Saccharomyces cerevisiae S288C: one gene and its partners. Changing the gene in region 1 together with any one later gene gives a genetic interaction. Each region holds a gene or a part of one and is shown on either strand. Other genes may lie near its edges. The genes, in order: SPT3, HOS2 and SDS3.

The links.
Region 2: mutations in SPT3 (region 1) and HOS2 together harm fitness more than expected from each alone (negative genetic interaction), as found in Saccharomyces cerevisiae (5 studies listed by BioGRID, with this or other methods).
Region 3: mutations in SPT3 (region 1) and SDS3 together harm fitness more than expected from each alone (negative genetic interaction), as found in Saccharomyces cerevisiae (5 studies listed by BioGRID, with this or other methods).

What each region holds. Positions count from the first base shown.
Region 1 is NC_001136.10:1,256,537-1,260,209, forward strand, and holds SPT3 (transcriptional regulator SPT3), read left to right. Parts: upstream 1-2,159; coding exon 2,160-3,173; downstream 3,174-3,673. Other genes in the region: E1 ubiquitin-activating protein UBA2, read right to left, coding at 1-311; IAT4 (Iat4p), read right to left, coding at 822-1,520; SHE9 (She9p), read left to right, coding at 3,365-3,673. UniProt on the Saccharomyces cerevisiae protein: Component of the transcription coactivator SAGA complex. SAGA acts as a general cofactor required for essentially all RNA polymerase II transcription. At the promoters, SAGA is required for transcription pre-initiation complex (PIC) recruitment.
Region 2 is NC_001139.9:139,837-143,595, reverse strand, and holds HOS2 (histone deacetylase HOS2), read left to right. Parts: upstream 1-1,869; coding exon 1,870-3,228; downstream 3,229-3,759. Other genes in the region: IME4 (mRNA (N6-adenosine)-methyltransferase), read right to left, coding at 1-1,350; YGL193C (uncharacterized protein), read left to right, coding at 1,369-1,680; YGL194C-A (uncharacterized protein), read left to right, coding at 3,635-3,759.
Region 3 is NC_001141.2:201,763-205,397, reverse strand, and holds SDS3 (Sds3p), read left to right. Parts: upstream 1-2,138; coding exon 2,139-3,122; downstream 3,123-3,635. Other genes in the region: phosphopantothenate--cysteine ligase CAB2, read left to right, coding at 745-1,842; KTR7 (putative mannosyltransferase), read left to right, coding at 3,355-3,635. UniProt on the Saccharomyces cerevisiae protein: Component of the RPD3C(L) histone deacetylase complex (HDAC) responsible for the deacetylation of lysine residues on the N-terminal part of the core histones (H2A, H2B, H3 and H4).

The DNA of each region.
Region 1 (3,673 bases):
GTAGAAATGTCCATAACATTTCCTTGGTAAGGCACTAACTTAGAGTTATTGAAATGCTGTACTGCTTTTACGGCTGTGGTAGACTTCGGTTGTTTAATATCTTTTTGTCTAAAAAGAAATTGCCTGTTTAAGTTCGAAAGGTCAATGGTGTCCAAATCGACAATATGTATTTCACCAAATTCCATCAAGATTATATCCTTTAACAATTCAGACCCTATGCCCCCAGCACCGACCAGAAGACATCTTGAGGACCGTAATTTCTTGTAACTATCTTCACCGATGATTGTTACCAAACTTGTTTCCCTTGGCATTTTCTTTTCTTGTTTGGCGTAGCGCTCCTGATCTTGTGTGTCTGTTGAAGTACGCAATTAGTGGATTGCTCATCCAAATATCTTGATTTAGCGTAAACATACTTCGCCTTTGAAAAACTTTAACTTGAAAATAGAGTATAAAAAAAAATTGCACAAAAAATGCGGAAGCCGGGAATCGAACCCGGGCCCCATGCTTGGGAAGCATGAATTCTAACCACTGAACCACTTTCGCTAAGAAGATCTAGCTTACATAGGTTTTGTGGTAATATAAATTCTTGAGACCGTAACCGCGCAAAGAAATACCTAAAATAGTAATTGCTAACTACATCTAAAAACAGACTGAAGCTCACTAGATATGAGACTTTTCTCACATCTTCAAAATAAAGAAAACAATAGCAGGCGAAATTTTTTTGAACCTGGTTATACAGTGCATGCTCCAAAATGTCGTCTTTAAACACTACTTTTTATTCTAAATAATTACTTGAAGGGGGGAAAGAAAAAGCTCAAAAACTACTCTTTTAAGACTTTATTACCGTCCTTATGATATATCATTAAATAGGCTGTGAACCCTTCACCATTCGGATCGCAATTGCCGTTAGAGTCGACCTCACACTCACCGTATTTGAACGTCATGTAATTTCTAAATCCAAAATATTCGTACACAGATTTAGCATGCTCGGCAATAGCTTCAAGGACAATGGCGCAATTTTCTTCGTCTGCTCTCCTTTTGTACTCTTCAAAAATAGTCCTTACAGAACCTCTGATTCCTTTCTCATTTAAGTTCTTACCAATACAGAAAAGATAGTAGTAATTGATGCCATTTGGAATGACTTGCTTTACGCGAGCATTTAAATCGTCAATAAAGTCCTTGTTGAACTTTGCATCATTACTCCTTGCCTTCGGAACGTGAGGTGGAAGACTCCACACTGCAACAGCATCGAAAGTATTAACTTCGGAGATCTCACCATAAGGTGAATCCAGGAATGGCGATATGATATCGGTGGTTATTGTCCTTGTAGGCACCTTCTCAGCTAGAGGAATATTTAAGATTTTCTTGCAGATAAAATGAAACGCTGGCGAGTTACTAAAAGCAATAGACAAAGTCTCTGCTGCTCTTCTGGCATCCGTAGTCTTGTTCAGGGTACAGACCATATGGCCCTTAGCATCGTTGTTTTCTAATGGAGTTGGCAGTTTGTTCTCGAAGGACATGATGTTCGGTTACATGTCTTAGAATTATTTTCTCGAGATTAGTGAGTGACTTGGCATAATATCAGGTACAATAACTGTTATATATACGCCGGCGGCATTTCATTTTTTTCACTTATCTCAGCCCCTGGGACTCTGATGCCGTTCACACCAACGTCTGCTGTGATTTGGAGTGAAATATCTGGATACTAATAGAAATATTACGATAAAAAAGAGTTATCTACAGTTTGCTGCATTATTTTTGCGTTATCGGTCAATCAACTTTAAGAGATCACCGTACATTTCCGGCAGCATTAGCGGGCGTCTCTTAGTTTCTTTGCAATACAGTAGGAACTCCAATTTTTTGTTCGTCTCCTCGCTACATTCAGATTCAACTGCAATCTCGAAAACAAGTTTTTTATGCCGCCAAAATAGGTATACATTGCGTTCAATGCATTCTCATTCATCTCTATCGCAAGAACGTCTTGTTCAAAGCTGCCCTTTCTTGAGGCTTCAAGCGCAGCGCACAGAAAAGAAGAAAATCCGAACCATGTAATATAGATCGGCGGAAACGAAAAGTAAAAAGTAAGGTTGAAGACACTCTGAACCCGGGGAAGAGTGCATACAAGGTACCGTGCCAAAATTCAAGAGATTAGGGCAGGAATGATGGACAAGCATAAGTATCGTGTGGAGATTCAACAGATGATGTTTGTCTCTGGTGAAATTAACGACCCACCCGTAGAAACCACATCACTGATAGAAGATATAGTGAGGGGTCAAGTGATAGAAATTCTTTTACAGTCAAACAAAACGGCGCATCTTAGGGGAAGTAGGAGCATTCTCCCTGAAGACGTCATTTTCTTGATCAGACACGACAAGGCCAAAGTCAATCGTTTGAGAACATATCTGTCATGGAAGGATTTGCGTAAAAACGCCAAGGACCAAGATGCTAGTGCCGGTGTAGCGAGTGGCACTGGAAATCCTGGGGCAGGTGGTGAAGATGATTTGAAAAAAGCAGGTGGTGGCGAGAAAGACGAAAAAGATGGTGGAAACATGATGAAGGTCAAGAAATCCCAAATTAAGCTGCCATGGGAATTGCAGTTTATGTTCAATGAACATCCTTTAGAAAATAATGACGACAATGATGATATGGATGAGGATGAACGAGAAGCTAATATAGTCACTTTGAAAAGGCTGAAAATGGCTGACGATAGAACACGAAACATGACTAAAGAGGAGTACGTGCATTGGTCCGATTGTCGACAGGCAAGTTTTACATTTAGGAAGAATAAAAGGTTCAAGGACTGGTCTGGAATTTCGCAATTAACTGAGGGGAAACCCCATGATGATGTGATTGATATACTGGGGTTTCTAACTTTTGAGATTGTCTGTTCTTTGACGGAAACAGCTCTGAAAATCAAACAAAGAGAACAGGTATTACAGACTCAAAAGGACAAATCCCAGCAATCTAGCCAAGATAATACTAACTTTGAATTTGCATCATCCACATTACATAGAAAGAAAAGATTATTTGATGGACCTGAAAATGTTATAAACCCGCTCAAACCAAGGCATATAGAGGAAGCCTGGAGAGTACTACAAACAATTGACATGAGGCATAGGGCTTTGACCAACTTTAAAGGTGGTAGACTCAGTTCTAAACCAATTATCATGTAAATTTTTGTATAATTTCATCATGGAGGTGCATGGGTTTCCTTCTGGTATGATAAATGTGAGCCAAATGAATTGAAAAATACAAATAAAGATTATGTACGTAGATACGCGTTATAAAGAGGACTATCTGATCATTGGGGTCTTTTTCGTTGTGAAATTGTAACGGGTGAACTCAGTGATTAAAAAATTGCGTGATGTTGAGATACTATGGGGCGACAAGAAACTTACCCTTAGTATTCAGCATTAACAAATTAATGTTGAGGGCGTCATCTTTCACCAGGCCATTTCATTATAGTTCATATTCTCTACAGAACGGTGATACTCCTGATAAAGGCAGCACTAATAAAAATGAAATACGGACACCTAATAACGCTGTTTGGAAAGAAAATATAGAACTTCAATGGCAGCACTTGAAAAAGAAATTAAATGAATTGTATTCTAGGTTTAACTTCCACCGAGATCAATTATCCTTTCAAGTTAACAAGGCCAAAAAATCAATTCAA
Region 2 (3,759 bases), on another chromosome or scaffold:
ATGTTTGTTGATCCACTTTGGATTACCCTTTAAGCCCACCAATAAATGCTCCTTAGAATGATTTAACCAATGACCCGTACGACCTGTAACAATTGTTCTACCCAGTTGGTTTGTCTTTATCCATGAAACTTCATTTATCACGTTGTAACCCCAGTTATTCAAAGACTCTTTACCCAATTCTATAGCTCTACCCGTCACCCAAAGAAAAATAATACCTTCATCTTGTAGTTCGTGCAAAGGCAAACCTAATAGTTCAATATCGTTGCAAGTACCGTATGGTAGGTTCATATGGATATTCCATGCAGGATCTGCAATAACTACCGAAAACTTTCCAAGAACCCTAAAATCAAATTTCCGCACATCGCAACGGATCCACTGTGCAGGTAAAGCCTTTTTGATACAATGTGCGGAGCAATTGCCCAGAGTATAAAATGGAATGGAAACGTTTGACCGTATTCTTTTATTTTCACTCGCAGTTTCACGATCAGCTCGCTCTTGCAAGCATGACGGAATATATTGCAGGTAATGAATGTATCGACACGTATTTAATTTATGACAGGTATCCAAATAGGAACAATCTCCTAACGAAATATCAGTTTGTGGTTTGATATTAGGGATAAAGTGAATTTTTGATTGAATGCACTCAATTAATCCTGGGTGATTTTCCTGACATGCGGATATTTTGGACCATTGTAAAGAAACGATTTTGTTATTGACAATGTACACCGAGGTGGACAATAGAGATGCATGCGAATAGTCACTACATATCGGGATGTATTCAATGACCTCGGTCGTGTATTTGGCTCTTTCTTTAGCAAGCTGAAAAGATGATGGTTTTTCCCTCAATAAATTTTGTAAGCGATTGCTCAGTTGTTCACGTGGTAACCCCTGGTTGCTGACGTTAACGTCCCAGTTCAGGACTCCAAGCAGTCTACCCAGCAGTTGGTCTTTTTCCGAATCAGCTTCCGGTTTTGTTGTTAAACTCGACACTTTTTCTTCACATGAAGAACTGGACGATTTTAATGTATAGTAGAAGGCATGGAACTTGTTATAGAGAATTTTCAAGGAAAAAACGTCCAGGTAAACAATTTTTTCTGGCCTATCTGCCACTAATAGATTCTGGTCAAATTGAATGGACTGCGGCGTTGCAAATATAATATCCTGAAGATCATTCCAAAACTGTTCAAACTGTAAGACCTCGTCTTTATCGTTTCTCAACTTCTGCATCTCATCATCGTATCCGCCACTGATGTACAGTGAATACACATCTTTGAGCTGTCCAGAAAGCGGTGCTCTTAGGATGTCATCATAATTCTGGATCAGAAAATGTACTAGTTTATCGTTAATCATAGCCTGCTTACAACTTTTATGAATTCAAGTCTGAATGCCAATTCTTATTTTTTTCGAAAACCCCCAATGCTAACTTATATGGTCCGTTTTCTTTACTGTTATCCATCTCCCTTTCCTATAGCTCCAGCGGTTACCGATCTTCCAGAATGCCGGGGAGATCTTTCTCTTTCTTTGTTTATAACAAGTTTCACAAGCACGAAAGAAAGAACAATACTGTACGCCAAAAGCCGCCTAAAGACGCATATTCCCGTCAATTTATGTGACCGGTACCACTATATACCTAAGGCACCTCTATACCAATGTAGAATGCCCTGTTTATACTCTATATAGAGGATTCTCGATGTTCTTTGGGGCATCGTTAAACGTGATATTCCTACTATGTTACTAAATGTTGAACTGAAAGCATCTTGAAACGATTCTAATCAGTTTTAGGTGTGTCGCCAATGTACAGTTATAGAAAAGACGCCAGATTACTCAAGTACGTTAAAATCAGGTATCAAGTGAATAACAACACGCAACATGTCTGGAACATTTAGTTATGATGTGAAAACAAAGGAGAACGAACCATTATTTGAGTTTAATTCTGCTTATTCTCCCAGGGTATCGTATCATTTTAACTCCAAAGTTTCACATTACCATTATGGTGTTAAGCATCCAATGAAGCCGTTTCGGTTAATGCTAACGGATCACCTAGTTTCCTCTTATGGATTGCACAAGATTATGGACCTTTATGAAACAAGAAGCGCTACCAGAGACGAATTACTACAATTTCACTCGGAAGACTACGTGAATTTTCTCTCGAAGGTTTCACCAGAAAATGCAAACAAACTGCCCAGAGGCACACTTGAAAATTTTAACATTGGAGACGACTGTCCTATTTTTCAAAATTTATATGATTATACAACACTATACACTGGTGCGAGCCTTGACGCCACCAGGAAACTAATCAACAATCAATCGGACATAGCGATAAATTGGTCTGGTGGTCTTCATCATGCAAAAAAGAATAGTCCATCTGGGTTTTGCTATGTAAATGATATTGTGCTTTCTATTTTGAACTTATTACGATATCACCCAAGAATCCTTTATATCGATATCGACTTACATCACGGCGATGGTGTCCAGGAGGCATTTTACACCACAGATAGGGTCTTCACGTTGTCTTTTCATAAATATAATGGCGAATTTTTCCCAGGAACTGGTGATCTGACAGAAATTGGTTGCGACAAAGGAAAACATTTCGCATTAAATGTACCCCTAGAAGATGGCATAGATGACGACTCATATATAAACCTTTTCAAGTCAATTGTAGATCCTCTAATAATGACTTTCAAACCAACACTTATTGTCCAACAATGCGGTGCGGATTCCTTAGGTCATGATCGCTTAGGATGCTTCAATTTAAATATAAAGGCACATGGAGAATGCGTAAAATTTGTCAAATCATTTGGTCTACCAATGCTAGTAGTGGGCGGTGGAGGTTATACACCTAGAAATGTATCACGGCTTTGGACCTACGAGACAGGAATTTTAAATGATGTCTTGCTACCAGAAGACATCCCCGAAGATATCCCATTCCGGGACTCATTCGGGCCGGATTATTCACTTTATCCTATGTTAGATGACTTATACGAAAACAAAAACAGTAAAAAACTACTGGAAGACATTAGAATACGATGTCTAGAAAATATCAGATACTTGCAAGGAGCACCAAGTGTCAGAATGGATGCTGAATGCATACCGACACAAGATATAAGTGCCCTGACAGAAGAAGAGGATAAAATCATTCAAGAAATGAATGAAGAAACAGAAGCAGACAGTTCAAATAGGCTAGAAGAAATGGAAAAAGAAAACAGTGGATTGATTGCCTTTTCATAGTTTAAGAGTTTGCTATTCGGTTAATCTCCCGTTTTTTTTTTTTTTTTTTTTTTTATTTTCCTTTTTTTTTTTTTAATGTTTTTAGCATATTATGTAGAGTGTTAAGGCCTTAAAAGTTATTTGCATCATTGTTAAAAATGACATGTATTGTATAAGAGTTCGGCTCTTCGATGCCGTCAGAAACATTTTTGGAAGGTGCACTCCGTATTCGAGACACTTCTGAAACGGACAAGTCACCAAACTACTCTGAAAACAACAAAAAAAAGCCTTTTCTTATAATTTGAAAGCTTCTCCCGCAGCATTATCGATATCGTGAAACTTCCAAAATCTTTCTTAATTAAACCGGACATCAGTGTCTACAACATTAGAGCAAGTCACTCAGTTCATGTAATACATCTGGACAATTATGTCTAATAAAGAGATAACTTGTATCAAACCGTTTAAAATTATTGCTCTAATTTTATTGATAGTTCTAATAATAAACCTCTCTTATAAGTTATTTCTGAGACGCTATTTAAAGTCGACAGTTAT
Region 3 (3,635 bases), on another chromosome or scaffold:
CGCGGAATCTCGGATCTAAACTAATTGTTCAGGCATTTATACTTTGGGTAGTTCAGCTAGGGAAGGTCGGGTTTTGTCTCATGTTGTTCGTTTTGTTATAAGGTTGTTTCATATGTGTTTTATGAACGTTCAGGGTGACGTATTGTCATACTGACATATCTCATTTTGAGATACAACATGTTCCATGATATGGAAAAACGTATACCAGTGCTACAAACCCTGTTAACAATTAAATTCTTATTACTTCTTGCACAAAGATGCTAACACTTTACAGCTTTGAAAGTAACAGGAAGAAGTGATGCTGTGACAATTAACAGGGTATTTTTTTTTTCACTTCTACTTAAATCGGAGTTACAATTTATGATAAAAAAATCAAGAAAAAAACCTGATTATGCTAAGAAAGTAGAGGCGACGATGACCACCTATGGCCTAACCTAACTATGAACAGATGGTAGGCTCTAAATTGCGTGCCTGAAATCTGCGGATTTGATATGTAGGCGATGTTTTGGGTATTTTCCACCAACTTTATTGGCAAGGGAAGAATTCGATGACCCGAATTCGCCAAACGACAAAAACTGGAGGAGTGACCTATTGTTAACGTTTTTTTTTTTTTTTTAAAGGCATTGTCATCAACAGGACATCTGTATAAGAGGCTAAGACAATTACGCACACAACGCTTTTATTAGTTGTCATAAACTGTGTAGATTAGCAGCAGACACTCCTTTTTTTCTTCATACTATAGCAATGCCACCTCTACCCGTGCTCAACAGACCTCAAATTCATACGTCTGTTACTGAAATAAGTCATGCAATTGATCGTACAATCAAGGAAGAGCTCTTTCCCGTTGCCTACACTACTGAAGAAGAGCAATATTTCAAAACTAACCCTAAACCTGCCTATATCGATGAATTGATTAAGGACGCTAAAGAGTTTATTGATTTGCAGTATTCCCTGAAAAGGAACAAAATAGTTCTTATCACCTCTGGTGGTACTACTGTTCCATTGGAAAACAATACAGTACGTTTTATCGATAATTTTTCTGCAGGTACTCGTGGTGCATCGAGTGCTGAACAGTTCTTAGCGAACGGATATAGTGTTATTTTCTTACATAGGGAATTCTCATTAACTCCGTATAATAGGTCCTTCTCCCATAGCATTAATACTTTATTCTTGGACTACATTGATTCTGAAGGTAAAATCAAACCTGAATTTGCTGAGAATGTTTTGAAGAACAAAAAGCTTTATGACAAGTATATGGAGAAAGAGGAGAAACTACTTTTACTACCATTCACCACGGTCAACCAATACTTATGGTCACTGAAAAGTATAGCCAAGCTATTGAATAATAGTGGTTGCTTGTTTTATTTAGCTGCTGCTGTCAGTGATTTTTTTGTTCCATATTCAAGACTACCTCAGCACAAGATTCAATCAGGAGACAACGGTAAGATGGGAGCAAATAATGACACTGAAGGTACAACTAGGACTACGCCTGATGGTAAACTGATTGTGAATCTTGACCCTGTCCCTAAGTTTTTGAGAAGATTAGTGGAATCATGGGCCACTCAAGCGATGATCGTTTCGTTCAAATTAGAAACTGATGAATCCATGCTGCTTTACAAATGTACACAAGCCCTGGATAGATACAACCATCAACTGGTTATCGGAAACCTTTTACAGACAAGAAACAAACAGGTCATTTTCGTATCCCCTGAAAACAGAAAGGGAGATTGGGTACGTTTGGATGAAAAACACCATAGCATTGAAGAGATGATAATCCCAGAAGTCATCGCACGCCATGACAAATGGGTGGCGCATTCGAAAACTAAGCTAGCTACGAAATAAAACATAGCTCTTGTCTGTAATCAAAAAAATTTGCGTCAAAAAAAAAAATTAGATGTATGTAAACCTTTTTATTGAACTGAAAATTTATCTTTTATCAAATCTTTTTCTTCTATGCCTTAATTATGTTTTCAGGTATCTTTTTTCTCATTATTTAATTTAGCTTATGTATTGATCATTTCGCTTGAGATTTCAGGAAGAAAAAACGCAAACAATTTTTCAGCTAAAATGAACCCTTGGAAAAGCTTTAAGAGAACAAGAGAAACTGTAGAGCTCAGTGTGCATTGTCTTCAAGATTGATGGCTATTCAAAAGGTTAGTAACAAGGACTTGTCCCGCAAGGACAAAAGAAGATTTAATATCGAATCTAAAGTTAATAAGATTTATCAAAATTTTTACTCAGAAAGAGATAATCAATATAAAGATAGACTGACAGCATTGCAAACGGATTTAACTTCTCTGCATCAAGGTGATAATGGCCAATATGCCCGCCAAGTACGAGATTTGGAGGAAGAAAGAGATCTAGAGTTAGTCAGGTTGCGCCTGTTTGAAGAGTACCGTGTTTCTCGTTCCGGTATCGAATTTCAAGAAGATATTGAAAAGGCTAAGGCTGAACACGAGAAACTCATTAAATTATGCAAAGAAAGACTGTATTCGTCTATAGAGCAAAAAATAAAGAAATTACAGGAGGAGAGGTTACTAATGGATGTGGCCAATGTGCACTCCTATGCCATGAATTATAGCAGACCGCAATACCAGAAGAACACGAGAAGTCACACAGTAAGTGGTTGGGATTCTTCGTCCAACGAATATGGAAGAGATACAGCAAACGAAAGTGCTACTGACACGGGAGCTGGAAACGATAGAAGAACGCTAAGGAGAAGGAATGCTTCTAAAGACACGAGAGGTAACAACAACAATCAAGATGAATCTGATTTTCAAACTGGTAATGGTTCTGGAAGTAATGGCCATGGTTCTAGACAAGGGTCGCAATTCCCCCATTTCAACAACCTAACCTACAAGTCAGGCATGAACTCTGACTCAGATTTTCTACAAGGTATAAATGAAGGTACTGATCTATATGCATTTTTGTTTGGCGAAAAGAACCCCAAAGACAATGCTAATGGGAATGAAAAGAAAAAAAACCGTGGTGCTCAACGATATTCCACCAAAACAGCTCCACCTTTACAGTCTTTGAAACCAGATGAGGTCACAGAGGATATTTCCTTGATCAGAGAATTAACAGGTCAGCCTCCGGCTCCTTTCAGACTAAGGTCTGACTAATTTATTTTATGCTGCAAACCTTCCACTTTAACTTTGTATTATATTACATTAGATGGTTATATTTCAATGTGAGCTCTTTTTGTTTTTGCTTTCTTTTCTCGGATACAAGTGGAAAACGAAAAAAAAAAATTGGCTAAAATTTACTGTATACATCAGGCTAACAATCTGTGATTATAGGCACAGTTGTACCAAAGAAGGGCTAGAATATACATCATAATTAGATGCAATTAGCATGGCTATAAGATTGAATCCAAAAGTCAGAAGGTTCTTGCTGGATAAGTGTCGACAAAAACGATATGGTTTCCTCTTTTTAGGATGTATCTTCGCCATACTTTACTGTATGGGGACCTGGCCATTTTTCGCAAAAGATATTGTACATGATCCAAATAATTTGCCTTATTCCTTACAGGATTATTCGACTGACAAAGACGAGCCATTTTTCCGGGGCTGCACTGATACAAAGCTGTACTTGCAAAATCCTGCTTACTCCAAAATGAACGCATCTTTCGTTAT